3 linked regions of the Bombyx mori genome follow. The protein of the gene in region 2 binds, or shares a complex with, the protein of the main gene of each other region. Links are inferred from orthologs where the notes say so. Each region holds a gene or a part of one and is shown on either strand. Other genes may lie near its edges.

Evidence for each region.
Region 1: eukaryotic translation initiation factor 3 subunit J (region 2) and eukaryotic translation initiation factor 3 subunit E share a complex: the UniProt entries of both Drosophila melanogaster proteins name them as parts of the eukaryotic translation initiation factor 3 (eIF-3) complex. The link is inferred for Bombyx mori from reciprocal best matches to the Drosophila melanogaster genes eIF3j and eIF3e.
Region 3: eukaryotic translation initiation factor 3 subunit J (region 2) and eukaryotic translation initiation factor 3 subunit A share a complex: the UniProt entries of both Drosophila melanogaster proteins name them as parts of the eukaryotic translation initiation factor 3 (eIF-3) complex. The link is inferred for Bombyx mori from reciprocal best matches to the Drosophila melanogaster genes eIF3j and eIF3a.

What each region holds. Positions count from the first base shown.
Region 1 is NC_085111.1:12,360,618-12,371,983, forward strand, and holds the start of eukaryotic translation initiation factor 3 subunit E, read right to left. Parts: upstream 5,515-11,366; 5' UTR 5,454-5,514; coding exon 5,358-5,453; intron 5,274-5,357; coding exon 5,157-5,273; intron 4,713-5,156; coding exon 4,545-4,712; intron 3,261-4,544; coding exon 3,138-3,260; intron 2,342-3,137; exon of another isoform or gene 2,203-2,341; coding exon of another isoform or gene 2,016-2,202; intron 1,109-2,015; coding exon of another isoform or gene 108-1,108; exon of another isoform or gene 15-107; intron 1-14. Other genes in the region: zinc finger protein 280B, read left to right, coding at 108-1,108, 2,016-2,202; uncharacterized protein LOC119628513, read left to right, coding at 6,797-6,877, 6,960-7,191, 7,523-7,608; putative nuclease HARBI1, read right to left, coding at 8,570-9,298, 9,390-9,665. UniProt on the Drosophila melanogaster protein: Component of the eukaryotic translation initiation factor 3 (eIF-3) complex, which is involved in protein synthesis of a specialized repertoire of mRNAs and, together with other initiation factors, stimulates binding of mRNA and methionyl-tRNAi to the 40S ribosome.
Region 2 is NC_085125.1:12,534,427-12,545,914, forward strand, and holds the start of eukaryotic translation initiation factor 3 subunit J, read left to right. Parts: upstream 1-4,496; 5' UTR 4,497-4,595; coding exon 4,596-4,611; intron 4,612-4,689; coding exon 4,690-4,775; intron 4,776-4,900; coding exon 4,901-5,014; intron 5,015-7,028; coding exon 7,029-7,170; intron 7,171-10,874; coding exon 10,875-11,039; intron 11,040-11,488. Other genes in the region: uncharacterized protein LOC101743774, read right to left, coding at 617-688, 1,364-1,467, 2,370-2,460. UniProt on the Drosophila melanogaster protein: Component of the eukaryotic translation initiation factor 3 (eIF-3) complex, which is involved in protein synthesis of a specialized repertoire of mRNAs and, together with other initiation factors, stimulates binding of mRNA and methionyl-tRNAi to the 40S ribosome.
Region 3 is NC_085122.1:3,671,404-3,682,170, reverse strand, and holds part of eukaryotic translation initiation factor 3 subunit A, read left to right. Parts: intron 1-470; coding exon 471-699; intron 700-2,078; coding exon 2,079-2,253; intron 2,254-2,383; coding exon 2,384-2,572; intron 2,573-3,339; coding exon 3,340-3,444; intron 3,445-3,710; coding exon 3,711-3,919; intron 3,920-4,404; coding exon 4,405-4,571; intron 4,572-5,337; coding exon 5,338-5,475; intron 5,476-6,816; coding exon 6,817-7,021; intron 7,022-7,827; coding exon 7,828-7,927; intron 7,928-8,440; coding exon 8,441-8,670; intron 8,671-10,052; coding exon 10,053-10,245; intron 10,246-10,767. UniProt on the Drosophila melanogaster protein: RNA-binding component of the eukaryotic translation initiation factor 3 (eIF-3) complex, which is involved in protein synthesis of a specialized repertoire of mRNAs and, together with other initiation factors, stimulates binding of mRNA and methionyl-tRNAi to the 40S ribosome.

The sequences.
Region 1 (11,366 bases), on a different chromosome or scaffold from region 2:
GTTGTTTACCTTGCTAATTATTATTTATGATAGATTCTCTTTGGTGTCTACAATGTTATTTTCTTTCTCAATGACATAATGTACTTAAAGGTGACATTTGAAATTAAATGCAAGTTTATATCGAAATGCCATGTACAAAGTTAATAATACGAAAACACGAAGAATCGAAAAACTGTAAAAGTTTGCAAATTTTAATAGACGATGACGAACATTCAGCAAATGTGCATTTTGGAAAATGGGCGGATGGGACAGTTGATACTAACAAGAGTACCAAATCACCATGTCTTATTGTGAAGATAGTTTCCACCTTTGAATCAGATCTACTTAATTTAGAATCTAGTGCTAAGCTGCTAGAACCCGATAAAGTGAACGAATATTTAGACACTAACACTGATTGCCGCTTGAATAATAACAATCGAATCATACATCAAAATGATAGTAATGAATTTACTGAAAAACATATCAATAACGTTCCCAAAGATTACATCAACCCCTTACAGTACAGTCTTGATAGAGTGAATGAGAATAATGCCCGAATTATGGAAAATATTAAAATATTAAATAGAACATTGGATTTGACTAAAAGTCAAGAGATTTTAGATACAATATACACGAGATCTTTGAGACATCCTTACTACCGTGGGTCAAATTATATCCATGAAGCAGGAATAAAAAAACATTTTAACTGCCAACATTTAACAACAGAATGCAAGACACAACAGCGTTGGCAAATCGTTTGGACTTGCATTCAATGTTTTCAAGTATGGCCTCGTCGAGATCAAGCAATTGAACATCCTGGTGATAGTTGTAATCCAAAAGATATTGAGGGCATTCGAGAAATTAAAACCTCGTCACTATTACAATGCGAGTTTTGCGAAAAAGTATTTACAAGTATTCCAAGACTTTTGACTCATAGCAAATTGCACTCTGTCGTAAACAATTACGAATGCACTACTTGTAGTTTAACATTTAAATCATATAAAACTAACGAGCAACATTGGCTGGTGTGCCCGTGGTTGAAAATATACAGTTTTGAATTGCCTAAATTTTTGTTGTGCAACATTTGCGACCGTAAATTCAAGAATTACGATCAACTCTACAATCACAGGTGAAATTCTCTTCGCATTTTTCTTATCTTATAGGTGCCTTCAATTCGATTTCCATTCAAGGCAGATATCATACAATGGTAATGGTCCAATGGTAAGTGCTTACTGTCGCTCGTACACCTTTGCCTACTGCTAAGGGCTCTTTTCAAAACTCATCCGACGATGAGGATATAAAATTTCAAAAAACACCACGGAAGCGAATTCTTTCTAGAAATGGATTTACAAGGCAAGCTCTTGAAACGCAGTGGTAGTGGCAGTTACATAGTGGTAGTGGTAGTAGGAGTGTACTCTACTTCAGAAATGGTACTGATGACTGACATCTGCTGCATATAAAGTATGGTATAGATCACAGGGGGAACCAACCTCTATTCGAAGAAGAGAAGTCAACAAACACTCTGAACGCTTCTCTCTCCTCTTATGAAGCCAAAGAAAAATAGTACATACGGATCAAAGTTGGGTTGTGGTAGGCTACGCGAGGTCGAACCTGTGCTTTATTTAGGCGCTTAAGTTTTTATTAAGGAGTGAATTACAGCCTTATTCTAGTAAGGAATCATAAACAAGAATGGACACTCTGTCGTTAGTTTGAGTTTGATTTACGGAGATTTACTTTTTTTTTCTTTTTTTTATTGCTTAGATGGGTGGACGAGCTCACACCCCACCTGGTGTTAAGTGGTTATGTCTAAGTTCTAAGGTCTCAGTATAGTTACAACGGCTGCCCCACCCTTCAAACCGAAACGCATTACTGCTTCACGGCAGAAATAGGTAGCGCGGTGGTACCTACTCGTGCGGATTCACAAGAGGTCCTACCACCAGAAGACTTACTACTTAAAGCTTGTAAGCATCACACACTAAGATTATGTGCATGAAATAAGATGGAACTCTGTAATTAAATTAATAAAATATTTGCAGATATAAAGCTGAACATTTCATGCTGAAAATCATTCAAGATATTAAAACCGATGAGCCAATGATAAAAGCGTCTATCAGTATTTTAGCTCATCAATGTGAGCTATGTGGTCTTTGGTATAACGCCCTTTCAGAAGTAAAAGCCCACAGAACACAAGTTCACCAACAGTTTGATGCTATAGTTTATTAATATGCAATTTCCCTAAATGCTAGTTGTTACTTGCAATAAATTGTATTTTTTTTACTTACAAATAGATGTAGTATTTAACATTCTTATTAATTAATACAAGAAATAAGAACTGAAATATATTAATTTACAACTTCATAAATCTTTAAAATTAAAAGTGTTACATTTTATCTTTTTTTCATAGATGGGTACACAATCTCATTGCCCACCTGCTCTATTGATACTGGATACTATAGATATCACAATGTTCATATTATATCTACATAATAATATATTCCTAACCTATCTAATACATGAAGTTGAATTTTTTTTTTTTTATTGCTTAGATGTGTGGACCAACTCACAGCCCACCTGGTGTTAAGTGGTTACTGGAGCCCATAGACATCTACAACGTAAATGCGCCACACACCTTGAGATATAGTTCTAAGGTCTCAGTATAGTCACAACAGCTGCCCCACCCTTCAAACCGAAACGCATTACTGCTTCACGGCAGAAATAGGCAGGGTGGTGGTACCTACCCGTGCGGACTCACAAGAGGTCCTACCACCAGTACCCAACTGTATTGTAGAATAGCTGTCCCAACCTTCAAAACTTAATAACAGGTTCATGATAGAAGTAGCCAAAACGGTGATAACTACGCATGAGGATTTCCAATACCCCCTATTATCAGTATATGCTCGTAGGCTATATCAGTACACTATAATAATATGCTGAGTACTGCTGCCCATTCTCTGGCGAATCTCGCGTGACTCTAGGGGAAAAGCTGGTGCTATACCACACACAGAGTAAGTCGCTTTTATACATTGCTGCCTATACATATTTTGACAAATTTATTTTACAAGTCTATTTAAATGTCATAACAATGGCTTCATTTCATAATACATAGGTATTTGATAATTAAATACAATATGACATATTATGTTTTTACTGTTCCTTACCTTGTCAGTTGGCGACATCACCAGTTGACAAAAGTAAAGATATGATGCTGACTCCACATAATTTCCACATTCATAGCGATATTTGGCCAAACGATACATGCTATCGATCATTTCAATTTTAAACTGGAATAGAAATTGATATTAGTCAAACCATTCTTTTATTTTTAGTTTTATTTAAGGATTTATATTTATAAATTGAATATCTTGCTGGTAGACATATTTCATATATCTACTATATACTAAATATGTTTACTAAGACCAAACAATTTTAGGCTTATTTTTTTCTTTTTTTGGTGGACGAGCTCACAGCCCTCCTGGTGTTAAGTGGTTACTGGAGCCCATAGACATCCACAACGTAAATGCGCCACCCACCTTGAGATATAAGTTCTAAGGTCTCAAGTATAGTTACAACGGCTGCCCCACCCTTCAAACCGAAACGCATTACTGCTTCACGGCAGAAATAGGCAGACAATGATTTATAAAAAATATATAACAATTCTACTACATTCTACTACTGTATTTAAAAGATATATCATTAAAATTTATTAAGTTAACCAAGGTAATATTCCACTTAAAATTTATGATCTGAAGATAAAATTCTGTAAGCTGACATCATAAGCTAAGGCAGGTAGAGGATGTATATATGTTTCCTTTAAAGTGTACATATATCTAATGTATATGATATTAATAATTAAAATTATAATTATTTATGCAGAATTTTCTCAGCTGCTTGTTGTATTAGCACAAAAAAGTCTTCTTCTGAAGAACGAAATATGAAATTTTGATACACTGCCCTATTGCAAAATTCAATATTATACTGCAGTATTCTATGACATAATTCTTGAGTAATATCAAGAAAAATCTGGCATTGGCATAACAATATTTTTGTCAAAATCCATGTCAAATTACTCTTCTAATTTACAACTATTTTTTGTCATAAATTGCTATTTGCTCAAAATAGTGCTTAGTATTTTACTTTTAAATAAGATTCCACTGAATAATGAATTTGATCTTATTGAGGGGTTGGAAAAATAAATGCCCCACACTTGCTATTATCTTGATAAATATTTATACAGAAAAGCTTTTTACTTTTAAGTTACAATCGTACAACAATTGAATGAGGTGTTCTATGCCTTTCGGTTATATTATTCGGCTTTTGTATAATGTTTTCTTTTGTTTTGATAATTTGTGATTGGGCATAAAAAAGAAAGAAAGAAATATATATTTGGGAATACCCTTCTCAGGACTGTCTCTATTAGAGTATGTAAAATTGTTAACAATTTAATTTAATTAGCATTTTAAGTTATTATTCTTTCTTCATATAGAATAAATAATACTGTTTTGCTGTACTGCATGGCAGTTTAGTAATTATCTTTTCATTTAGTTTCCGTTGTATGAAAGACTCACCTCATACTCCTTGTTTGTCGAAAGATGGTTTATAAGAGTTTTAGGATCCCTCATGGTTTCAATTGTTTTCATTACATCATCTCTTTGCATGAGTCTCAATACTGGCTCTACTGCATCTTGAAGTTCCTGCAGTTCCGAAAGAACTACACCTCTCCGCTGTATAATTTCCTAGAATCACTTTTAGGTTTAATTAAGTCATTATACTAATTGTATATGCAATTTCGGAAAGGTCACATGTCGCATATTTTGTCAAATACGTTTTTTCATATACATGTAGTTTTGAGGCTTACCTACACCCATTTTATAATAATTCCAGTAATTTTCAATTGCTAATTAACACTAAAACGTATCTCAAAAGTTAATATTTTAAATTTTACACTGCTTTAGAAAATAATCAGTTTTTTTTCATCTCCTGAACATTTTACATTTTCAGAGATGTGCCCTTTTCGAAATTGCATATTCAATTATTCTTGTCATAATTATGTATTTAAACACATATACATATACATACATAGTCAGATGTCAGCATCTCTAATAATTTGTGTTAAACATCATTCCGTAAATAAAGTTAATTTAGGACAAATAATATATTTGTTAAAGATAAATTCTTACTTCAGGAGTGTCTTCTTCAGGATAGAGCATTCTTCTGATGTCAGTAACATAATCTATCATGTTAGTTTTGCTCAAAATCTCCAACTTTGCCTGCAGGAGCTCTGACTGGTCATATGTCTGAAAGTATTTGGTTTTAAGCCTTTCAGTTGCTTTTTAGAATGAAACGGACAACACTTTGTAAAACTTGACTACATAACCTACCTCCTTTGCTGCTAAGAATTCTAGTAAAGGAAACACGAGATGCCGATCAAGATACTGTCCTATTTTAAACGTTAAATCAAATTTTGAGTAACTCATGTTGATAGTTTATTTTCATGAATTCTTATGAAAATGGAAACACATGTAGTAGGTAGAAACCAACAACCTGTAATCTACAAATAGTATGTAGTAAAAGGAAAGCACTTTAGGCTACGTCCACAGTAAATATACTGAGTACAGAGTAAGCCAAAGTCAATAGTAGACAAATATTTAAAATGTTATCTATGGCGTAGTATGATATTTTGTTTATTGAGGGACTTTTTAGCGGGAACGCGAGGAGTGAAGTTGTGTGATTTGTTTTATTTTGTCTACTTAGTGTTTCTTCAGGTTTAAATGTATAGTAACGGTGGTTTATTAACTGTTTAGTATCTGTGAAAGTGCACAAATGTGGGAAAATGAAACAAAGCCAATGAACGTAACTTCTCGGGATCCTCCAAAAAGTCCACTGAAAAAATCTCAGTAAATCACCACCATTTTACTGAGATTATATTTCATCCCATATCATATAAATTCATTTGATTTCATCCCAGTTGATTAATGTCTCAAATTAATCATCAATTCATTTTTCATAAAAATAAGAATGTAAATTAAAATAAGACATTACATAAAAGTCTTATGCCCGTATCTTTAGACGTTTCGTAAAATAGTCCTCCACTCTAAACTCATCCGATGATGCTCGAATATTCCTCCCAAACTTACTCGAGTTTGGTATTTTTAGTCGACCATTACAATATTCCTCAACTGTCCTCGAGTAAGGTAGAGAGGTGCTATTGCGTCACCACGACAACATCAGTTTGAGGAAAATTTGATCAAGCTAGCATCAAACCTATAAGAGTTCTGTAGCTTATGGTCATTGTTTAATGTCAAAGTCAAGCTACCACTGTCTGTTTGACACTAGACGCATCGAACTTGTTTGATGTTTTAGTTGAGAGACTCATAAATACGTGCGCGTGCGGTGAAATAGAAGGTTTTCGTTTTTCTAACCCATGATTAATAAATTAGATTTCGGATTTTGAATAATAGCTCCTCCAGGAACCCGGCTTTGTATTTTTATTCGCTGTTTCTTTGTTGAATTTGATTGCATCGTCTTTTTGAAGTGCTTTTCCACAACCACCGGTTTATTATTCAGGTAAGTTATGATTGTGGTGTTTTATTTATTAAATAGTTAACTTTAAGTTAACTCAAATAGTTAAATATTTTTGTCCTTTATTACTCACTGCCTAAGCAAAGTTTTTTATAGATTTTACGTGAAATTACGATGCAGTAAATTATTTGTCGTTTCAGTTTTTCTATGATGACGTCCAGGCAAGTATTTAGCGAAAGCGAGAAGACCTTGCCTACAAGAATTAATTTTAAAATATAATCTGCACAAAACTGCTACCATGACAGCTAGTCAAAACACAAAAAAACTTTTGTGGATACATTTAACAGAAGAATTCAATTCAATTGAATCAAATGCAAAGGTAGATATTTATTTATATTACTTGTATCTGATTTTTACTTGTCTATATATACCATGCTATTCTTATTTATCATTTGTTTTAGCGAAGTGAGGCCCAGCTCAAGAAGTGCTGGGATAATTTAAAAACACGGAGGAAGCACTTTTTAGCTAATGAAAAGCGTCAGAGAATGAAGACTGGTGGCGGACAGTGTGTTCCAAATGAGCCACAGCCTGGTAGCAGCAATGAGACCCTTATTTTTGCTGAGGTTCTACTGGATCAGACTGATGTGGAACTCAGGGGTGACATTGACAGTGATACCATTTACAGTTCTGAAGGTAAGTGAATCTTAAAAATTTGAGATAAGTGCTTCAATCTCACATGCTCTCTCACAAAAAACAGTAAGAACGTGGTGGCATGGAGGGTCTTTTGATTATTGTTATATATCTATATGAGTCGAACTACATGTATTACTGTGCTAAAAACTAGATAAATAATATGCGTGACAATACCTGATAAAGATTTTCACTCAAGAAACCATTTTAATAATCATAATGAATATACCACATTCTGATTAAGAACAATATTACTTTAAAATTCTTTCCTCTACTCCAACTATCACTATTATTCTACCATACATAATTAAAGATTTTATTGTTTTATTTCTAGATATTGCAATGGAGCTTGAAACATCAGTTCCAGCAGTAGCGCAACCACAACAGAATGATGAAGTTCTGAGTGTCTATCTATATTAATTAGTTAGGGTAAAGCACAAATAATGCAATTTGTAAATCTAATCTAAATATATCAATATCTTTTTATAACTTCACCTTAATTGTATTGAATCAGATGAATTGACTATCACATTTTACTCAGTCTAATTAATAATTCGACTATAGTAGCTCAATCCAATTGTGGGATTTGAAACCACCCTTAATACCTTAATTACCACTAAAGCTATCATCACTTCAAAATCATAAATATACATTATATAGATTACTAAAATGTTACAAATATAGATGTATAACAATTGCATTTTATTTAATTACAGGAGGGAATGTGCGCACCAGGGTAATTCAGGAGGAATTTAAGTTTAGAAAAGAATCTTATGAAAAGAAAGAGAGAAGAGAAGATGAACTCTTTCAATTCCAAAAAAAGGAAAGAGAGTGGATGATGAAGGCAGCAGAAGAAGTATATCTAAAAGCAAAGGCTGAGAGGGAAGCTGCAGAAGATATTAAAAAATATAATCGGGCTACAAGAGATTGTAGTGAAAAATAATTTAAATAAATAACTCATAATCACATTGACTTTATTTATTAGATAGTAAGCAAAATATGACTCTTATGTAGATAAATAAAATAAGGAGTTTCAAAAGTCTAACCTCGTACTATTTACTTTTTTAGTAAAAAATTTATCAAAATTAACAAAATCAATTTAATCATTCATCTTCAAAATAAATAATACTATCTGCATTACAATAACGGTGCTCACTGCTCGGTTCCAACTTATATACCCATATTAGCCGGACAACTGATAACTGTTAGGGTAAACATGTTCTTGAGTCGAAACTGTGAAGTGGTGGAGTGATGATCTGTGCAGGGTGGCTGGCAAGAGCTGGATGAGGGAAGCCGAGGATTGTGCTCAGTGGCGAGCAATTGGAGAGGCCTATGTCCAGCAGTGGACTGCTGTAGGTTGATGATACCCATATGAGAATTTTTAACTGAAATGCCTAGAAATAAAAGCCGATCTTATAATACTCCCTCTAGAAGAGTCCTGAGTATTAGGTACTGGGACATTTTCTAGCTCAATTTCAGGGTTCAGCTCAGGTTCATTGGTCATTAAACAAATGTTGTGTAGGGCAGCACAAGAGACTATAATATTACATGTATTTGGTGTACTGTATTGTAATTTTCTACACAAACAAGCAAAGCGTCTCTTTAATACACCATTTACACATGCTCGATTGTATCTGTGTTCTGGGTCTGTTTGAGGATTGAGTACAGGAGTGTACATAAAGCCAGTCTGCGCATAACCACTGTCTCCGACAAGAATGCCATCTAAATCGCCTTCTTCAAATCTCAATCTGCTGTTGTTAAATATGCGCGAATCATGCACAGATCCAGGCCATCGCACAACAATGTCGTATATTTCCATTTGCGGTCCACATATTATTTGGACATTGATAGAAAACCAGCCTTTTCTATTACGAAAGATTTCTCCCCTTGCTCTGGATGGATTTTTTATTGGAATGTGTGTGCAATCAATACATCCAATTACACCTGGAAACCCTGCAATTCGGTAGAATTTTCTTTTAGTTTCAACCCTTTCATTTAATGCAGGGAATTTAATAAATTGCCTGGATTTCAAAGCCAATCTCTTAGAAATGTTTGCTACCGTTTTTGATACTACGGATTGAGAAATTTTGTGCAAGTCGCCACAAACAATCTGAAAAATAACCATACCACATGAAACCAAATGAAAGTTATAAATTATAAATATTCTATTATGTAGACACAAAAGCACATTATGCACGAACCTGAAAATTTGCGTAAAATCTCAAAGCAATTAGCACTTGTAATATCGGCGTTAAAGGTAGTCCACGATCGTTTTCATTAATGTTGTTAGTCAACAAAGGCAGCAAAATATGCACAACCGAATCTTTGGTAAGCCGGTAACGTTTTCGGAATTCGTCGTCATCGTAAACTTCCAACGGGTTATCTGCATCTCTCAAATACCTTCGCGACGGATAATTATACACTCTGCTATCAAAAATATAGTTAATAAATTCTTCAAAACTGCTCTCAGAAGTCATCTTGTAATAAACGCTGTTTTGAGGAACGTTCAAGGTACGTCGCGACGTACCTTGACTTGACAGTTCGCTGACAGTTCGGATGAGTTAAGAGTGGAGGACTATTTTACGAAACGTCTAAAGATACGGGCATTAGTTACCAGGTCATACAATCCCTTAAAAAATAACTTTAGCAACGGGATACGTAGTGTTGTAACATGGTTGTAATTCCGGCCACTCACATGCGCGCAAATATTCGTACATTGTACGAATGTTTTGTTTGAAGGGCCGTCAAACATTCATTCGTAAACTTAGCGGCTGTGAAAATGGGTTCGGTACGCAATTTGCGAACCCGTTTGCGCTTCCTCCTATACTTGTTTACGAATGTCTCACGAATTTCTCCTCCTTTTTAATTCGTCAATAAAACATTGAAGAGATAAAGAGTTTTGAATTCTTTCCCAGACATCATTAATAGCCATGCTGTTTTTATGGCATTTCTTTTGATGAAGATACGCTAAACAGTAGACGTCACGATCTATGAAAATAGCGAAACGTCCGTTGCCTTCGCAATCCTGGGCGCAACTGGTCACATGAATGTGTGGGAGACTACGCAAAGGATAGCGGTTCGCGCGCTTTGATGTCTGTTAAAAAACCGACACAGCTTGGAAAACCACGAATGCAGCGAAAACTTTGCATAATCATTTGCAAATGTCGTCCTACACTTGCGGGTTTGCGTATTCGTGCGAATGTGAGTGACGGTGTAACATGCGAAGACATTTCTTCCTTATTTTAATATGGCCGTCTGGCCTTATGTCTAATAAAGACACAAAAGAAATGAAATTTAGTTTTGAAGTCATCGTGTCCTAAAGGATAAGACGTCTGGTGCAATCGTATCAAGCGATGCACAGGTCTACCAATCCCGCAGGCAGATAACATTTTTTGTAATTAAATATGTACTTGACAATTGTTCACGATTGACCTCCACGGTAAAGGAATAAATTCGTCTAATAAAAATCAAACCCACAAAATTATAATTTGAGTAATTACTGGTGGTAGGACGTCTTGTTAGTCCGCATGGGTAGATACCACCCTGCCTATTTCGGCCGTGAAGCAGTAATGTGTTTCGGTTTGAAGGGTGGGGCAACCGTTGCACTGTAAAAACGTGGTAAAAACTGAGGACTAAGAACTGATGTCTCGAGGTGGGCGATGGCATTTACCTTGTAGTTGTCTATGGGCTCCGTACCCAACCACTTAACACCAGGTGGGCCGTGATCTCGTCCACCCATCAAAGCAATAAAAAAGTGTGAGTGTGTGTGTGTGTGTGTGTAGTATTTGAACATTGCCATTGTTCCAATTTCCGATTTACTAATATAAAATGATCAGGCGTTTGAAAAAAAAAAGTTATTAAATTCCATGCTATGGTTAAGTTTATTTTGTGTTGAAAAATGCACCAGAATAAAGCAGTTTTCCTTCTTTTTTTTATTCACTCTCCTACTCTAGTAACTGTTGGCACTATCTTTGATTTACACTACTCGCTACGGTGACGCCACACAAATTGATCGCTTTTTGACGGACACTTCCATACACAGTGTGCTCCGTAGTGTCCCACCATACCCGATCCTGTAAACAGTCGATGCGACGTCGCCCTAAGCACGTCATTACGGATCCTCCCGATCCATTAACGGTGCGTTTTAGGTACCTACCTCAAACGGTCACCTGTCACCG
Region 2 (11,488 bases):
GACTAGAGGTCCCGCAGTAGTCGAAATTCGACTATAATTAATTGGAATTGTAAGTTTGTACACTATTATGATTGTATTTTATACTTTTATATTCACAAATTTCGCCAAGACTACACTGTAAAAAATATTAACAAAGACAAACAATATTTCATCTATTCTCAATTTGACAACAGGCGTCAAGAACAAAAGTTTGACAATCACTTGACAATAAATAGTATGCATGCGTGTAATGTTTTCTTTATTGATTTAAAGTATATTTTACGCATTATTTAGAAAAAAAATTAACATTGTGCACTTCTTCTCTATATTCTCTATAAGTGTGGAAAATTTCATCCTCCTCCGTCTGCGCAACTTTCGTAAAAAGGGACACAAAGTTTTTGCTTCCCGTATTAATATATAGATTGCAAATATGTACACAACATGACAAAAATCGGTACTGTCAAAATACAGTATAGATACAATTCCATTTAAATTAAAACAGAAGAAACAAATGTCTCGTAGTGACGATTAAATGAAAAAAAACTTATTCAAATTTTAAGTCAGAAAAGGACAATAGTCCGATCCCCCCTTTGTTGTTCAACGTTTTGTTCTTTTCGTTAATGAAAAAAGAACTTACAAAAATAAACAAGTACACTGGTTCGCTTTGATCGCGGAATCTCCGTAATGAATCCACTTCATCCGACGGCACCTACAAATCAAAAACCTATAATTTTCAAATAATATATATATAATATATAAATAATATAATTTTAAAAAAATAGAAACGTAGACATGCTTAAAAAATTTTTTGTTGCGCTTGAAATAAAACTTCGTAAAGATCACAAAAATTGTTAGCAATAATAACACGGAGCGTTACCGCGCTTTACCGGTGGTAGGATCTCTTGTGAGTCCGCACGGGTAGGTACCACCACCCTGCTGCCTATTTCTGCCGTAAAGCAATAATGCGTTTCGGTTTGAAGGGTGGGGCAGCCGTTGAACTATACTGAGACCTTAGAACCTATATCTCAATGTGGGTGGCGCATTTACGTTGTAGATGTCTATGGACTCCAGTAACCACTTAACACCAGATGGGCTGTGACCTCGTCCACCCATCTAAGCTTTAAAAAAAAATGTAGTATTTATAATTTCATACAACAGAAAAGAAGTTTCCGAAGTCTAAAGCAGGAAGTAGCCTTTGCCTTAACCTTAATATTATCGTAATTCGTGTATCAACAATCTATTACTAGCTTCACGGTATGAAATAGGCACGATATTGTAAACGTAAATCAAAGAAAATGAAGTGAGCGAAACAAAAAAAATCAATTGACTTCAGCTTAATGAGAAAAGAATACGTTATAAATTTTAAACACCTATAAAAATTTACCTTCAGCAGAATAATTTTTCCATTGCTCCAATCGTACTTGATGATCGTGAAAAGTCTATCGAGTGCAGTACAAGCGCCTACGAATTGGCTATACACTTCGGCACCTAATATAAAGAAATCAATATAATTTACGAATTTGCATATTCAGTGGCAGCAAGTTCTGAGCATAAATCGTTTGCTACCACTGCCTTGTCTATACCAGTTGTAAAACGCTCTTGAATCCGATCCATAAGGTATTTATTTCACTAAAATATGGAGTGTTTTTCCACTAAAATAGAGACAGTATATGCTGGAAAACCGGTCATCATTCTCGTCGAACCCGTCGCTTGGGACGAAAGGCTCGACGAGTAAATTAACCCACAGACACAGCCCACTGAGTTTCTCGCCGGATCTTCTCAGTGGGTCGCGTTTCCGATCCGGTGGTAGATTCTGCGAAGCACGACTCTTGCTAGGGTTCGTGTTAGCAACGTGGTCAGATTTGAGCCCCGCGAGCTCACCTGCTAGTTAAAGTTACGCTGAAATAACCTCTCAAGACTATCAGCTTGAAAAAAAAAAGTTGGAAAAAGTCACACAAGTGAAAGAGTTTTTTGACACCGACTAAGCCGTGAGCGACACGTCCATAAAAATTCTTGGTAAAATTTTAAGCTCGACAAACACTAAAATAATGTTGCAAAAATATGAGTACTCATTTAAGTTCCAATATTCTGCTGGAATACTTATTTAAATAATTATACCAACATATTCATCATGTCGCCACAGCAATCGCCACCGGAGAACACTTAGGTTACCTTGATGATCACAACGCTGGGGCACAATGCGTTTTCCACGAAACATTTTTGTCAGGTCATATCAAACTACGAAATGAATTAGCTCCTAGATTTTGCGAGAATTCTGTGTATGACATGTACTTTTTCAAAGGAGACCTGAGAAAAACTCCCTTCGCAACTACGACAACTACTGAATCAAATCAACGAATAACTTTTCATCCTATATTTTTGTGACTAACAGATAAGGGCTTCTGAATGCGTCCTTAATATGTTTTTAAATTCCTTTTCGTTTTTTATTTCGATAAACAAGTCGATCTTCCGTTTCGCCATTTTCACTATCAATTGAAGAATTTAAACTGCTTGGTCATGCTTTGAACTATTTTAGCTACACCTGTTTTTACTTCAAAAACTTTTTATTTTTATTTTTTTTTTATTACTTAGGTGAGTGGACGAGCTCACAACCTACCTGGTGTTAAGTAGTTACTGAAGCCCATAGACATCTAGAACGTAAATGCGCAACCCACCTTGAGATATAAGTTCTAAGGTCTCGTATAGTTACAACGGCTGCCCCGCCCTTCAAACCGAAATGCATTACTGCTTCACGGCAGAAATAGGCAGGGTGGTGATACCTACCCGTGCGTGGACTCACAGGAGGTCTTACCACCAGTATCAAACTTCAAAAACTATTGTGGGATATTAGGTATAGACAATTTTAATCGTCTTTTTTACCGATTTACTGGAAACGACCGACAAATATTTACAAAGATTGTAGGTATTTAAGGAGTTACAAAGTCAATAATGATAAAATGTTACAGAAAATGGCATAGTTCGGATTTAAATAGTTAAAGTCGTAAAATGGTAAACGTAATTATCAAAATTGTGGTGGGGTCTTCTTTGCCCAATATTTATTTTAAAAAACTAGCTAACTTATCTCACAAATTGTAATTCGCTCCAACACAACTGTGCCATCTATTAGTCGACACAGGCTTCATTTTCAAGCATTATAGAGAAAAAAACACAAAAATTACAAAACTGTCAATAGATGTCGCATTTAGATGATTATTAACCGTCAATTATTTCGCTTTGTAGTTTTGGCGTTAAGCAGCGGTAGGCAGCGACTTGGCTCTGCCCCTGGCATTGTTGAAGCCCATGGGCGACGGTAACCACTCACCATCAGGTGGGCCGTATGCTCGTCTGCCTACAAGGGCAATAAAAAAAAAGCAGTAGGCAACAATCAAACTGGTATACATAATTTAATATATACTATCTAAACGGAAACATAATATGAATCAGGGCCCATGGGCAATACTTCTTGTGGCAGCACCGTTGAAAGACGACCGCCCCATTTAAACAAGCGCAGCGATCCTTCATAACCACTCTCGATGCTTTTAGGCATCACAAGCATCGGTCAACTTATTCGTTGAACCCGTTCAAGCGATGAAGGGCTCGGCGAGTAAATTAACTCACAGACACAGCGCACTGAGTTTCTCGCCGGAATTTCTCAGTGGGTTGCGATTCCGATCTGGTGTAGATTCAGCCAAGCAGTGTCCTGGTTAAGGCTAATGTTTGCAAATTATTCAGGCTGACCACCATGAGCTCGTTCTACACGTAGCCATAAGTAGGTCAAAAAAAAGGACGAGTACGACATCAAACACGCAACAACCAATACCTCAATTCCGTCCACCCCAGTGCTACACCGCTCAGCGTTGAGTGCATCTCAACATGCTCTAACACCATCACACACAAATGTATGTACTGTCTGGTGTTTTTAAATGCGTACAAAAATATTTCTGTCAATACAACACATCAGAGAAAACTATAATAGACTCAAATCTATTTTTTGTGATGTAGGGATAGCTGGCGGTCCCAAGGTCTTTCTAGTTTCAATAGCTAAAACGGCTAAATGAGTACGAAATAGTCTTGGGAGCTTCAAAATACACAACGAGAACACTCTTTTTAATTAGGAAAATACATTATTTTACTCTTAAATTAAAATACAAAACAATTTTTTTAAACTTGTAATATTTTTCTATTCGTTTCATTTCACCATTTATACTGATAGCTGACAAGATTTTTCATAAAATGATCCTGTATAGGCTAAGACCCTTTCGCCTGTTTCGTGAGATAAATAAAATATAACACTGTCGGCCATATTGAAAATTTTAGTAAATCGGGAATTATCGTCTGCAATGGATTCTTACTTTTCTAAATCAATTTGTGAACATACGTCTGTTGGGGCTTCGCCAATATTATGTCATTTGTTCATTGTTTTTCAATCCGACCGTGATAATTGCAGAAAATCGTCTTCAGTTTGACGAATTACACTCGAGTTTTGTTGTTGTCTAGAAAACGACGACTCTGGAGACATCTTGTGAGTGATAAGTCACTGTCGATAGTTGTCCGATTTTGGTGTTCAGGTGAAAAGTTTTCATATTAATTCAGCTGCTGATTCTGGAGTCCTAAAAATGGACGTGTCATGGGGTACGTACTGTTTAATACAATAACAAAATAGATTTTATAAATATCTACATTCGTAATGTCAATCGTGGTACATTCCAGACGCAGATAACTTCGAGCCCAAACTCCCGACCACGTTGGCAGCTTCCAACAAATGGGAAGGGGAAGACGAGGATGATAACGTAAAGGTAATCATTGGTGTGCCAAGTAGTTTGTATACAGTGTTCTAACTTCTAAATGTATTACGAATCTTCTCAAAACAGTACATAACCTAAATGACTGCCTACGTGTTGACGTCAGACTTTATTCGCAGGAAAGCTGGGAGGATGAGGAGGAGGAAAAGAAAGACGAAGAAAAGACTGAGGCAGCGCCACCTCCACAACCGAAACCTAAAAAGAAAATACACGATAAAATAGCCGAAAGAGAGGTATAGTGCTTTTAAAACATATGTTTAATGATTTAGAGATTTTATAGTCTAAACTCTACTAGAATAGCTTCTAGTTTATAGAATAGATAATTATAATTATATGGTAACATAAATTACTACCCATTTAGTGGTATTTTAACACATGAACTTAATAGTTTTGTTACACATAAACTTGGTAATGTTGAGCATTGTTGAAGCCAATTGCATCCTCTATTAACCAAAAGTTGTCTAAAAATAATTTTAAAACATTTAATTGCATTGTATACATACCAAAAATAGAAATAAGATTTGAAGGAAAAATAATATATGTAGTCTATTGTAAAATTTAAGACTTAATATATAGACACTGATATTTATTGCCTGCTTCGCCATGATCATCCATCTAGTGGAATAGATAAAATATGCACTCCATTTGAAATCAGTTTAAATGTTCTTTTTTTTATAATACCAATCACTGGCAAATTATCTTAATTATCATCTTCTTCTTTGTTCTTTCTCTCTCTGCTGGGGTGTAGGGCTCGAATCATATTCTTTCGTTTGCAGTCAATGGTATTTTTTTAATTAATAGTGAAGAAAAAACTGATAAATAAAAAAAACTAAATCTGTTGACAAACAGAAGAGAAAATTTTATTTAGCTTTTTATTGTACCCATCTATGTATAAATTAGATTCACATAATCATTAGATACCTATCGAGTTTAACATTAGCCAGTGTTTGTCTAAAATTTGTTTTGCAAAAGTCATTGACGCTTATTTATATAAAATTCGTGGAGATAACTTATTATATTATGAAATTACAGTAACTGTATGTACTGCTCTGATGCAAATTTCAACTATAAATATTTACACAAAAAATAATTAAAAAGGACAAGTTAAATACAAATAATTTATAATAAATATCAAGGTTCCAGTATGCATAAAGAAGGTTAACAAGATAGATTACTCATGGATTATCATCACCTTGCAATTAATATTAAATTCATTTGACAGCATAAAATATCAGAATAATAATTAAAATATATTAAGAACCCATTAATTATTAATATTTAAAAAACAACAGAAAAGAAATCTGGTGCTAGTGAGGGTGTTCCTGTTAGGTAACATAAAAAGTGGAATTTAAAAATAACATTTTGCTAGCAATTGTTCACTCAGTAATGATAGCTGACGATCCCACTCAGTCATCATATATCATCTTCCTTGACATATTGTGTGTCAACATCTGGTTATGACTGATTATGTGCTCAAATATGGTTAGGGAAGCCACATTTTGTCTTGAAGGGTCTGTTGCAGGGTGCACAATACAACAGCCCATCAGCATTCTACATAAAGTATAGGAGGAAGGCCAAATTTTGTATACACTTTTTTTTTTCAAATCTTGAGACAGCTTTGTGAGCATATCTGTATCATTCTGGACTCCGTTGTGTGCGATATTAGACACAGTTGGATGACATTCTAAAACATCCCCTGTAACATTAGCATTGCCCTCCAGGTGCTCACTGTTCATAATTCAGCTGTTAGTAAAAGACAAATCTAGGAAACTTAGAGTCATCCACACTTGTTGGAAGTGCTTCAATACTATTTACCTTCATCCTCAATATCTCAGTTTGAGACTTGATCTTGCCGCTTTATGCAAAGTATGGATGTTACACACTTTATGTTGATGGTGTTGCTTGATATCACCTCTGTAGTCCTGGTGGCATAAAGCGTATTGCTTTATTACCTTATATACAGCGATCATTGTGTGCAGACAAAGGTCATGTGAGGCCCTGACTCTTTTGCACAGCATTCAACACCCTTTGCAATTCATGAGGAATTTGTATTAAAATTTTGTATAGGGTATGACAATATTAAGTTAAAGGTTAACTTACATCATGTTTGGGATAATAACCAAATCTAAAATACGATAATTCACCAGAAAAATGAACATAGTTTCATAACTTCATAGAATTGACAGGCTATAGTTGCTCTTGAATTGATATAATATCCATAATATTTAAATTATAAAATTTTACTAGCGACAAGAACGTGAGAAGGCTGAACGTCTCGTGACAGAGAAGACTGCAGAAGAAATGACTCCAGAGCAGAAGTTGGCTGAGAAACTTCGCCAGCAGAAGCTACAGGAAGAATCAGATTTGCGACTAGCCATGGAAACCTTTGGTATGCTTGATTGATTTGGTGTGCTCGTATTACAGTTTGTGGATTCCAAAATAAGATTCATTTTAAGCAATAATTAGTAGACATTCTAAAAGAGGGTTTATAATCCCTAATATAATGAAGTTGTTGTGGCCTAATGGATAAGATGTCCGGTGCATTCGTGTTGAGCGATGTACCGATGTTCGAATCTCAGGCGGGTACCAATTTTTCTAATGAAATACGTACTCAGCAAATGTTCACGACTGATTTCCACAGTGAAGGAATAACATTGTGTAATAAAAATGAAACCCGCAAAATTATAATTTGCGTAATTACTGGTGGTAGGACCTCTTGTGAGTCCGCGCGGGTAGGTACCACCACCCTGCCTATTTCTGCCGTGAAGCAGTAATGCGTTTCGGTTTGAAGGGTGGGGCAGCCGTTGTAACTATACATGATACCTTAGAACTTATATCTCAAGGTGGGTGGCGCATTTACGTTGTGGATGTCTATGGGCTCCAGTAACTACTTAACACCAGGTAGGCTGTGAGCTCGTCCACACACCTAGCAATAAAAAAAAAATTTAAAAAATTGTGGTGAAGTGGATTATTGTGAGCCCTCATAAGTAGGTATTACCACCCTGCTTTTATCTGTTGTGCAGCAGCCATTATGCTTTTATGAGATATCAGGCTTCATGGCTGCATGTTAAATCATTGGCATCATGCATTGAACGTTTAAGATTTTAATGACATATCTAGTTTTCAATATCTCCATAAGAGAATGATATTTCTTCTAATTATGATCCTTAAATTAATTTATTTTGTCATATGATCTTTTTAGAGAGTTAATACTTACGTAAAGTGTTAATTGTATGTGAAAGTGTATTTAAAATGGGTGAAGTATGACTTTTCTTGAGTAGATGGGTGAACTAAATCTAAATGATTACAGGAGCCTACAAACATAGTCACATAAATGCCACCACCCACCTTGAAACATAAAGTCTTCATTGAATTGTGTAATAGCTGTTCAAATCAAAAGGCATGACTGCTTCACGACAGAATTAGGCAGGATTGTGGTATCTACCTGTGTGGGTTTATGTTGTGCCTTTCTTTCATTAAATGTCAGTTGACAATCATAGTATGCTGATTTTATACAGAGAATACTTCTACCCATTCTCTGGTGAAATCCTTAGTTGCCTTTCACAACATGCAGAGGAAAATAAGAAATATAAATACACTGCTTTTTTATGTTTACTGGTTGTGGTGTAACAATAGCATTTATTATTGCATAAATTTGAGCAATAATAATTATTCCTCCAATAATTAATACATTATAATAACAATATAGAAAAAAGTCTACGTAGCGCACAAAACACCCAAAAACACACTACTAAACCTAGTGTAATATCAGCCTATACTAGGAAACTCATGGAGCGGAGACAGCAACTACATGTAACCAAACCAAAAACAAGAGCATTGAAAAATGAACTAAAAGCTTTATATAAACTCATAAGTAAGAACATAAGGAGAGACTACATGCTCCATCGATCAAAAACATTTGAAAAACATATACTACTGGGAGCATTAAAAAGGCGTACAAGGAGCTAATTACCTACAAGCCTTGGATTAAACAACTAAAAGAGTCAGATAAACTATCACATAATAGGACTGATATTATGAAAACCGCAACCAATTTCTACAAAAAACTGTATGATTGTCAAGTCCAAAACTTTACAAATATATCTGTCAGCACCAGCATACAAGTACCAGCGGAAGACGTCTCACAGATAAAAAAGATAGATGATTTAGAAGTTATAGAAGAAATAAAAAAACTTAAAGCTGAAAAATGTCCAGGGCCCGATGGAATCACTAACGAGGCAATAAAAATAGGCTCTAAATATCTTGCACATCCTCTGACACAGCTCTTTAACTCTATATTAGATTCAGGCACCACACCTTTTCAATGGTCAGAGTCGAACATGATTCTACTCTACAAAAAGGGTGATCCCACTGATATAGGCAATTATCGTCCTATCAGTCTGCTACCCACACTCTACAAACTTTTTTCATCAATAATCGAAAAGAGGATTAGTAAGAGAATAGAGGAACACCAACCAATAGAGCAAGCTGGTTTCAGACGTGGATATTCTACAATAGACCATATCCACGCAATTGAACAAATTGTCGAAAAATATAATGAATATCAGAAAACACTCTATGTTGTGTTTATCGATTATCGGAAAGCCTTCGACACAATCCGACACTCTTCTATATGGACCGCCCTAATCTCACAACGCGTTGAACACAAATATATAGAAATAATAAAGTGTTTGTATAACAACTGCACAAGTAGAGTCAAACTTGAGACGACAGGACCACCGATACCCATAAGGCGAGGTGTGAGGCAAGGCGACCCACTATCTCCGAAAATTTTCATAGCGGTACTGGAGATGGTCTTCAGCAAACTAAATTGGGAAAGAAAAGGGCTGAATATTAACGGCAATTTCATCAACCATCTAAGATTTGCGGACGATATTATTCTATTATCTGAAAGTGCTAAAGAGATGGAATCAATGATACACTCGCTAAAAACTATGAGCTATGAAGTGGGTTTGGAAATGAATTTAGATAAAACAAAAATTATGTCGAACAGTATAAAACATCCCATATATCTCGACGAAAAACCATTAGAATACGTAGATAGCTACATATACTTAGGCAAACAAATTTCCTTTGGAAAACAAAACAATGAATTAGAGGTTGAACGAAGGATTTCAGGCGCATGGAAAAAATTCTGGAGTCTAAAAGACATACTAAAGGGAACGATGCCTATTAACTTAAAAAAGAAACTAATGGACACGTGCCTGCTCCCCTCTATTACCTACGGCTGCCAAACGTGGAAATATACGCTACGCGTAAAGAACAAAATCAGGTCTTGTCAACGAAGTATGGAGAGAAGCATTACGAATGTGAGAAAAATACAAAAAATCCCACATAATGTCATACGGGAAAAGACTAAAGTTATAGATGCACTAGATTTCTCACAAAAGTTAAAGTGGCGCTGGGCAGGCCATGTAGCCAGGATGAGCGACGACCGCTGGACCTGTAGACTCACGCTATGGCGGGGGCCTGCAGGTATTAGAAGGAAAGGAAGACCGGTAACGCGTTGGGACAACGATATAATAAAAATCGCTGGTAAAAACTGGAAGACAATTGCCAAAAATAAAGACAAATGGAAAAGTCTGGAGGAGGCCTTCACCCTCACATAAGAGGGGTTCTTGCATGCCTGCATGCTAAATTAATATAACCTTTTTTACATATTTTATGTTGATCCGACTAATATTATACACAATTTATTAAGAATTCTATCATAATTAATATCGATTATTATTAATGTATTATCAACAATTTTTTTATAATTTTTGTAATGTAACTTTTTTTTAAATGCAAGAAATAAAAGGCTTTTTATTTTATTTTATTTTATTATTTATTAATAACAATAAGGCTTTTGAGTAAAATAATAAACATTCATATTCTCATACAATAATCGTATTTTATTGTGTTCAAAACTACTAGCAAATGTAATGATTGATTGTCCAAAATATATATTAAGATTACTTGGCACAATTTCTTGGCAAGTCTTAAAACTGCCTCAAGTCATATGAGACAATGTTTTTATTATAATATGTCTAGTTATCAGATTAGATAACTTACCCATGAAAATGATTACAGGTGTAACAGAAGGTAACATTGGTAAACTTGACAATTTCCACCCAACTACAAAAGAAGAGTACACAGAGTTTGCTGATCTCCTTACAAAGAAGATCACTTTCTATAAAGCCAAGGATGAATTTCCAGGATTCATTGATGACCTAGTCAAGAATATTTTAGTCCAGAGTAAGTAAAATTCATTGTTTATGACTTCATTGATTGTGTTTGTAATTCAAATTGCTGATTTTTGCTGTGAAACAGTAATGCATTCAGTTTGAAGTGTAGTGTAGCCGTTGTACTGCACAATTTAGACTTTCGACATAATGTCTCAAGGAGTATGGCAGCATTCACATTGTGATGTCACAGTAACTGCTTGTCACCAGGTGGGCCGTGAGCTCATTCACCTAATAATAAATAAACATATAGTTCATGCTTAATATGGGGCTTGGTTCTGCTTAATACGTAATCATCATCGTGAAGTAAATATCTTCTCATTGTCAGTGGTGGTCACCAATGTAGAATATGACATTTATAAATGAAATCTTTCATTTCTAGATTGAAGTTAATTCAGAGCAACTCCATTATTATGATTGTGAACTTTCTTTCATTAGATGCCGCTAAAGTGTAAAAAGTCT
Region 3 (10,767 bases), on a different chromosome or scaffold from region 2:
CCACGTTGCGTTTCTATGATTAGCAAAAAAAACATTTCGATGGATTCACCACCTATGGTTATCACAAGAGAAACATCTATTGATATCAAATAATGCTATAAAAAATATTTTTCTAAAGTAAAAAGTTTTTAAATTTCATTTAATAAATAAACATAACCAAAAACATTTAAGAGTCGTCGTGTCAAGCTTATCTTTACGTAATTGACGAAACAATAATTAGTTAATATAAACCTAAAATCCAAATCCAATATAACGTTCAATCTTAGAGTAGATCATGATTATAATTATCTCCTATGCTGAAATTACGAAAACAATCCATATGTTTTGATGATCTCACTCATATGATCCAAATTTCAGTATACACCGCCGTTCTTTCCATATCGTTTCCTGTGCAAAATATTGTAAAAAATTTAGATCAATTGTTATTGACAAAATTAAGACACATTTCAATGTAACAATGCTATTTTCAGAGTTCATGGATTTGGACAAACCAGCAAGGGCCCTAGACACCTTACAGGAAGTTTTCCGTAACAAAAAATGGGCCTACAACTGGTCCGAATCTGTCCTAGAACCAATCATGTTCAAATACTTGGAACTTTGCGTTGATCTACGTAAATCTCATGTTGCAAAGGAAGGTCTGTTCCAGTACAGAAACATGTTCCAATCAGTTAACGTTGGGTCTTTGGAGCAGGTTATAAGGTAATTATTAAAATCAGTCTTGTCTACCTATTGCAAGGTATACCATGGTTCCCAAAAACTCTCAGACACAGCCCACTGAGTTTCTCGCCGGATCTTCTCAGTGGGTCGCGTTTCCGATCCGGTGGTAGATTCTGCGAAGCACGACTCTTGCTAGGGTTCGTGTTAGCAACATCGTCAGGTTTGAGCCCCGTGAGCTCACCTACTAAAGTTAGGGTTACGCTGAAATAGCCGCTAGGGCTATCAGCTTAGGTAGGAAAAAAAAAAAAAAAAGAAAAAAAAAGGGTTCCCAAACATTTCACTGCAGTGCAATGCAGATGCCTATCTTCAAACATAAAATTGAAGCCTAAAGCATTAAGCTTACTGAAACTTACCAAAAATGCTGTTAATAATTAATACTTAGATACAGTTGAATGAGATGCAAAAATTGGTGCACACTTGTTCAATCACGTAATGATCATTGGTTTACATAAAACTGGGTATTGGAATATGAATTGAATATCCCTAGCAAAAAAAATATATGAAAGTTGTTAATTAAATATAAGCAATCCACTATTTTAAACTTTGTGATAAACAAAAATTGAAAAGTAAAAAAAAAATGATACCATTTATGTCTAACACATAACTAGACTAACACTAATAACAAATAAATTTTAACAGATCTGCATTGATTTATAAAGTTCATTCAATCACTTTTTTGTCAAATATGCTCAACTTTTGTTTTCTTTTTGTTAATACTTTGTGGCCCAAGACCCACCTGGTGTTAAGTAATCACTGAAGCTGATGCACATCAACAAAGCAAATGCTGAAACCCACTATGACTTCTAATTCTCAGGCTCAGAAGCTGCCATACCATGAGTATATGTTTCAATGGCTGATGTCTGCCTAGATTACCACAATCTCATCTTGTCCTGTACTGTTTACAACAGTAAAACACGACTGGGGCTTTTGAGAGAACTGGCAGCAGTGTTCATGTCGTACAAGAATACAAGAATTAACTGTTATTTGTGTATAAAATTAACTCATAGAAGTGGTTCCTCTTCACTATCGTGTACATTGCGGTTGCAAAGTAATAATGTTTAACTGTTTAAAGGATTGAACAGTTGTTATACATTAAAAATGAGATTTTGATGATTCATCACAAGGTAGATAGGATGAAATGTGACCCTGTTCGTAAATTGATTCAATAAAAATAAAATTGATTCTTGTAATCTTAGGGCATGAGGTGGACAGAAAGCAACATTGACTTTGTGGTATCTATGAACTCTAAAACCGCTTGTTACTGTAAGCTAATAAATCCAAATATAGCAAAACTAATTACTTTACACTCACAATTTCTAACTATAATAAAGAAATGTGCCTGTAACTGTAACATTTCACAGAGGCTATCTCCGTATGGCAGAGGAACGCACAGAAACAGCCAGGGCTTTATCGACGCAGGCCGTCATAGACACTGATGATCTGGATAACCTTGCAACCCCGGAGAGCATACTCCTGAGTGCAGTGTCAGGTGAAGATGCCCAGGACCGATCTGACAGAACAATACTCACACCATGGGTGAGCTATCATCACCAGAAATTCTACTATAACAATGCATTTGGAATTTATCAACTTATGGAGTTTGCATTTAGTTATTAAAATTATTTATAAATTTAAATATAATAATGAAACCAATTTTTTAACACAGGTGAAATTCCTTTGGGAATCCTACTGCCAATGCCTGGAGCTCCTTCGTACGAATGCTCATGTGGAAACCTTGTATCATGATATTGCTCGCATGGCCTTCCAATTTTGTTTAAAGTACTCGCGAAAAACAGAATTCAGAAAGCTTTGTGATAAACTAAGGAAACATCTTGAAGATATTTGCAAACCTACAGTAAGTGTAATAAAACTCAATTTTTCTATTTATCAACTGATGGTAGGGCATAGGTGTCAGATTGTATAAGTAGGTACCACATAGATTGTCTGTAATGAAGCAGTTATAATACATACAATAAATACAATTGAGATTATATCATTTGTGACATCCATTTCCTTTCATAAAAAAGGGCAACTAGTGATTTGATCCCAAATTGATTAAGATGCTCTGAACAAGATGTAAAGATACATTCTTATCACATGCTACACTGTGATTAGAGACCTTTATTGGATAACACTGTACTGGGACAATTGAAAACATGAATAGATGAAGGGGTTAAGTACAATTTTAAAGATTTTTGAGTTTCTATATTGAATGAAGGTGTTATGTGCCGATATATTAGCCCTTAAAACTCCAGGTTTAAAGGCTATTTTTAGAAATTGCATGTGATGAAGAAGCTATATATGAAGCAAAAGTATAAGTAACAAAAAGTCTGTTGCTCGTTTTCTCAAAATTAACAAATTGTATTATATCCCCTTCGTCCACTCATGTCTTCAATTATGTATCATATACCAGACAATTAATCTACTGGTGCTGGGTTGTTTTATGGGCTAGCAGGGGTCTACCATTACCTGTTTCTGTCACAGAGCAGTTATGTATTCTGGTGTAAAGAGTGACATACTATACAATTGTTGTAATTCTAAATGGCTGGTTTATGTTTGTAGTATTTCTATAAACAAAATGTATTTATTCTGTTCTGAAATATAGTCTGTATTATTTTGTAGGTGCAAACTGGTAACGTTAGCATTTCAAAACCAGAAACTCAACAGCTGAACCTCGAAACAAGATTGTTCCAGCTCGACTGTGCAATTCAAATGGAGTTATGGCAGGTTTGTTAAAAAAATTATATTTCATCTTTATTTTGTAATACGTATTTAAATAAATTTAATTATTTTTTATGTGCACTAAAATCTTTCAATAAATAAGTAATCAATAAAGTAATAGAATATATACAAAAAAGGGACTATTTGAATATGAACAATGAATTTCATTACAATAATAAAATAATTTAAAATTGCATTAATACAAACACGGCCAATACCTTTGGAAGTTAAATTGAAATTTCTTTTAGAAACATGTTTTATTTTTTTAACAGGAAGCCTATAAAGCCATTGAAGACATCCACAACCTAATGAACATGTCTAAAAAAACTCCAGTCGCCAAAACTATGGCCAACTACTATGGGAAACTGGCACTTGTTTTCTGGAAAGCTGGCCACTGCCTATTCCATGCTGCAGCCTTGCTGAAACTCTTCCAGCTATACAGGGAGATGAAGAAGAACATCACCCAAGAGGAACTGCAGAAGTAAGAATACTGTTCAATAATCATCATACTATATACTTATATACTGGCAATGAGCAAGTGGCTAACCTTTAACATCTGCTTCCCGCTGACTAATTATGGATTCAATTCATATAAAAAAAAATTATTACTTAGATGGGTGGACGAGCTCACAGCCCACCTGGTGCTAAGTGGTTACTGGAGCCCATAGACATCTACAACGTAAATGCGCCACCCACCTTGAGATATAAGTTCTAAGGTCTCAGTATAGATAACAGCTGTCCCACCCTTCAAACCGAAACGCATTACTGCTTCACGGCAGAAATAGGCAGGGCGGTGGTATCTACCTGTGCAAACTCAAGAAATCCTACCACCAGTACAAATATATGTATAGACACAAAAAACCATGTTATTTGATCAGTTAAGCCTGCAAACACTCACATGGACTACTTATAGCTGTATTACAAGTGCTACGCAAAAAAAATAGTAAAAAAAAAGTTACTTTGTAGGATGGCGTGTCAAGTACTGGTAGCGGTGCTGTCTGTGCCACTGCCATCTCTACACCCTGAGCTCGATCGCTTTGTCGAGACGGATAAGAGCCCTGTTGAGAAGGCCCAACGTTTGGCTGTACTGCTCGGTCTTGCTCAACCACCGACCAGGGCAAGTCTTTTGAAAGGTATCTATTTTAAAAGAACTAGTACTAATTATTTGAATATAATAATGACTTTAAATTATCTAGTAAGAAGGAAAAGGAATTTCTCAACATGTATTACAATATTTTATGAAAATTACACTAGTAATTACTTACTGGCCTTTGAGTTTGGTAACTCATTCTGCTTTGTGTAATACCTTTGCAACTGGAGCTCTAGCATAAAAATATTTATTTATTAGTCCATATTTTTGTAATTATTCAAAACTAGAAATAAATGCAGATTTGGAAATATAAATTTTGCTATGTCTGTATGTTTCACTACAGCCTATTAATTATTTAATTTTGAATACTCAGCACTTCCTGGCGATTAACACATTCATATAAATTTAATAAAATACTAGTTAATAACCAAGCCTTGCTCGATATTTTTTTTGATAAATTGTGTTTTTTAGAAATTATATTTAAATACGAATTACATATTGATAAAATGATGAAATATAAATCATATTTTTCGATCTCACCGACAGAATAATAATAAAATATGAACTGGTTATTTAAAGAAAAAATCAAAATTATCGAAAACACAAAAAAACAACAAATTCAAATTCTGAAAATAAATCGTATCTAGATCGATTTATCGCCCCTGAAATCCCCTGTATACAAAATTTTATGGAAATCGTTGGAGTCCTTTCTGATTTTCAGATTATATATAAATTTATATACAAGAATTGCTCGATTAAATATATAAGATGCAAATGTAACTAAAGTATAAAATTATGTTTATTCTTAGATATCGTCCGCCTTAACGTCGTGTCGCTGGCATCGCCTCAACTTCAACAGCTTTATTCTTGGCTTGAAGTGGAATTCGACCCTCTGACCATCTGCCTTAATGTCAAGGGTGTTATCAAATCTTTGCAGGATGAGCCAAGTGAGTACATTGTTTAACCCACACTGATAACTCATTACATTACGCTTAGCTTACTGTCCAACTGACATTAGACTAAAGGCTGGGTAGATGTTAGAAACAGACAATCTTATCTACCTACCTTCTTTTTAATCCGTTTTACTATACACACAGTATTCACTGTTTTTGTTGAACACTGAAGATGCATTATTTTTTACTAAACCTAATAGTGAAATGTGCTATGTGGTTAGTCCTGAACTAAGACCATACATACATATATACAGGTGTATTAAAGTACCTTACCTCTATTAAAGGAAAAATATTAAATATTAAATGATTGGTGAAACAGGTCTTGTTATTAAAAGTATAAGCAATAAAAAATAAAATAAAAGTATAAGAACAAGCAAATAAAATGTGTGTGCGATAAAAACTTTTTATTTTCTATAGCTACATAAATCAAAATTGGACACCTTTAAATAACATTTGGATTTTTTTATAACAAAGACAAGCTTAATATTAATTTTATGTAAACTGTGTGTACTCAAAAAGTGGAAGTCACATTTGAAACTATTCACTTCATTGGAAAAGTTAATGGAGACTTCTTCAAACAAAATATAGATAAATTAGTAATCAAAGATTTTAGGATTATTGTGCCTCTGAAATAAATCCCATTTGTAACCCTTAATGGTTATGCGATGGTAGGCCTCAGAGGTAGATCATATTGTAAGCTTGACGCGACAGAATATACGACACATGTATAGCCTGTGTTAATGTATGCTTGCACATGTTATAATTTACGAGTGAGACGTCGTAACAGCCATAACCCATAGTTTGTAACTATTGCTAATTGTAGATTTGACCCATCTTTTGAAACAACTATACATTCTCTAAAGTGCCAAAAGTTGTTGGTTTCAATGTTCAACTCGACAATATCCTTCGTGAATATACATTCATTTACAAATTAAAAATATTTCTGTGCAAAAGCACAATATTAATAATAATCCCTAATGAAAATCCATCTGTTGGAGCATATCCCATGACGTGAATAAAGATGAAATTAAATTCAATTTAAATGTAAATCAAATATTAAAGACTTATTACAAATGGTTATCATGTGTAATATAATATTTCATTAAAATGTTTTGTTTCTGTTCTCATAAAAACATTTTAATTATGATTCACACAAACAAATATATAATTATGGATATGTATAATACTCTAAAGGCTAGGGATACACATTAAAAATAGCCAGAGTCTTATTAATGTGACCCACTTTAACTCGAGTAATAAATACCTGACTGTATACCAAATAACCGAATCATTGTGTACCTATACAATTATTTTATTTGAATATTGATTTAACAGATTCATCGCTCGCTCAGTACACCAATGCCTTGACGGACGTGGCCCTGGTGAGGCTGATCCGTCAGGTGGCCCAGTGCTACGCGTGCGTGCAGTTCTCCCGGCTGCTGGAGCTGGCGGCCACCGACGACCTGTTCCATCTGGAGCGCTTGCTCGTCGACTGCGTGCGCCACAACGACATGCAGATACGCATCGATCACGCCAACAAGTACGTTGCGAACTTCGTATAAAACTAAAGCATAGACACAGTTTTTTATTGTTATTGCATAGATGGGTGGACGATCTCACAGTCTACCTGGTGTTAAGTGGTTACTGGAGCCCACAGACATCTACAACATAAATGCCGCCACCCACCTTGAGATATGAGTTCTAAGGTCTCAGTATAGTTACAACAGCTGCCCTATCTTTAAAACAATGGTGGTAACTATCCGTGCGAACTCAGAAGAGGTCCTACCACCAATAATTACGCAAATTTTGCTGTGACTATTACTAAAACTGTGCTATTCATCATTCATCTAATTTATTGCCCATAAATTAAGAATAATTTTGAAATTTTATCAGTATCCCTAAACATAGACAACCTTTTTTTTTTCAAATAAATTTAAGTAATTTTTATTTATTGTAACGAAAGCTATTATAATAAATTTACGATACGTCTATCTCGCGTACCATAAGTAGATATGAAAGAGCTTTTCTGTCAGCTTTCATTATAGTAATAACTACTTCCATTTCATTTTTCACTTAAACTTAGATAAATAAGTGGTACCTATTTAAAAGAGTTTGGAAAAACCTCCCCATTTTAATTCAATGTTTTTGCCACGTTTCATCCAAATCTAATCCAGATCCACAATTCTCTCTGAGTGCTATAACATCTCATTTGCTAAAGGGACTTTTTTATTATTTATTAGAGCCATACACCCCTATTAGGTTGTCGGCTAAAGGGGACTCAAAATGTACTGTTGGCAGGGTAATTGTTCAGTTTAATTCTTAATTACTATTTCTGTTTACAATCAGGTGCGTGCACTTTGGCGTAGAAGCGGGCGGCGGCGAGTGGTGCTCGGCCGCGGACGAAGCCTGCGGCGGGGCCATCCTGCAAGCCACCCCGGCGGAACAGGTACGCGCATTATGAATAATGGACTTGTAGTGTTATAACATTTACAATTGAACTTATTTCGATGGGCTGTGACATGGTGTACCTATTAGTTTGGACGAGTTAAATGACGTACTGATGATATAGTTTTTACTAAGATTTTAAGACTTTAAAACATACATTAACTATGTTATTAATCATCTGATGTGGTTTATTCAAATCAGTATAATATTTCTATGAATCCTATTTTACTATTTTAGTTATGTATGACTACTAAAATGGTAAATTTAATATTTCAAATGTGATAAAATATTTTAAATTTTTTAATATATTTAGTGTTTTCCACAAGAACGATTCTCAACAATCATGAAAAAGCCTTGTAAAATTATCTTTTTACCAAATAAAATTTTTTCTCCCAATTATTTTCCCTACTATACATTTCGATGATAAAATACATTAAAACAAATAGATACGAATTCTCCAATATATGCACGCGTACTTAAAAAATTAAAAATCCCTTGACGTGTCTATAATCAGGTCCGCGAGCAGCTGGTCCGCGCGGCGGAGGTGCTGTCCCGCGTGGTGGGCGCGCTGTACCCGCAGCGGCGCGGCGCCGAGCGGGAGCGCGCCCGCGCCGCCATGGTGCAGTACTACCACGAGAACAAGCAGGCCGAGCACCACCGCGTGCTGCAGCGCCACAAGATCATCGAAGAACGGAAGGAGTACATCGAGCGACTCAACACCGTGCGCGAGGAGGAGGAACTCAGGTAAACATTATAATTTTTTTGCTTAGATGGGTGGACGAGCTCACAGCCCACCTGGTGTTAAGTGGTTACTGGAGCCCATAGACATCTACAACGTAAACGCGCCACCCACTTTGAGATATAAGTTTTAAGGTCTCAATATAGTTACAAAGGCTTCAAACCAAAACGCAATACTGCTTCAAGACAGAAATAGGCTGGGTTGTGGTACCTACCCGCACACACTCACTACAATCTGTCCTACAACCAGACCACGTCCGTACTAGGACAGAGCGACTACACAGCCCTAATTCACTATACACTAGTATGATACTAAAGGACTGCCTCCTGCTTAAATCTGTTATGTATATTCAATTCTTAAGAAGTCATTGTAATTTTTGTGCCTCTGAAATAAATCCCATTTGTAACCCTAAATGGTTATATGATGGTAGGCCTCAGAGGTAGATCGTATTGTAGCTAGACGCGACAGAATATACGACACGTGTATAGCCTGTGTTAATGTATGCTTGCACATTTTTTTTCATTTGATGTATCGGCTTTCAATTCCGCTATTATATTTCATGTGTTTTATTGAATTAATTTAGCTAAATTACACAACTACAAAAAAAATTTCGTTCTTTGTCCAAACGTTTATACTAGATTTTTCCAGTTAATTATTCACAAAAACGAAAACAAAAGTTTGCTTTTGTGATAGTTATAGTAATAATACTCATTTTTCAACTTTTTTATAAATTTTTTATTAATTTTAATACTTTAAAAAAAAAACGCGCTATCAAAGTGGGGTGTTTACGTTCACACAGTGCCACTAGATGGCACTCGAGTCATAAACAACGGTCAGGTGTTTTGTACAAGCCCAGAAAAACTTAAAATGTCACGAAAGTGTAAATACGATGCTGATGCATTTTGTTTCATATGTGGTCAATTTATTAAAGTTCAAAAGCAAACTGTTTCATGCCATGTATTATTTTTTCGTCTAATTACGATCTAAAATATCGAAATTTTAAGTTTTGCCATCAAAGTCAAAATTGGTGTTGACCCGTGTTATAGATAGGTTAGAAAAATAAAACAGGTCCACTAAAAGCTTTCAGAGCTATGACGATCGTTAATTAATATTAGAAATAGGACTAAGCAAAGGTGGTAAGTAGGACCTCTTGTGAGTCCGCGCGGGTAGGTACCACCACCACCCCGCCTATTTCTGTCGTGAAGCAGTAATGCGTTTCGGCTTGAAGGGTGGGGCAGCCGTTGTAACTATACTTGAGACCTTAGAACTTATATCTCAAAGTGAGTGGCGCATTTACGTCGTAGATGTCTATGGGCTCGTCCACCCGCATAAGCAATAAAAAAATAATAATAACCGGAACAACTAACGAAATGATTTGACGTATCAGGCGTCAAGAGGAGCAGCTCCGCGCGGCCGCCATCGCCGAGGCCCGCCGCTTGGAGCAGGAGCGTGAGGAGCGCGAGAAGAAGCGCCACGCGTCGGAGCTGGCCGCCATGAGGGAGCGACACCTCAAGGAACGCATGGCGCACATCTCTCAGACCGCGCACGGACAAAAGATGCTCGGAAAACTCAATGAGGAGGTTCGTCTTGTTTACTGTTCTCATTTGCTGCATTAAAGAACATAAGATAATTAAAGGAAATAATCGATAATTATATCTTAATCTTAATTACAATAGATCTCTTTCTAATTAATTTAATTAAAAAAATCTAATATTAAAAAAAAAAAACATGCCCGCTGATTTTCTTGCCAGTTCTTCTCAGGACGCAGGCTAGTTTTTGTGAATTGGCGGTAGTTCTTTTTGACGTTCAACAAGTATGTACTTTCATTTATGTTGAATAAAAAAAATTATTTTTTTTTGATTGATTATATGTAATTCAAAAACTATTTTTCTGAAATTATAAAAAGTCCGGTATCCATTTTTCACGTCAAGCCAAACGCTAACTACACGACACATGATGTCGCATGTGATTAATGTATTAGTGATTCGTCTAGGGTTAACTTACACATTTTGATACCCAACAATGTTACATGAATGTTTAATTAAGTTTCATAGTTTGTGTTAGAATTTAGAAAAATAGAAACATAATTGATTTCCTATGCT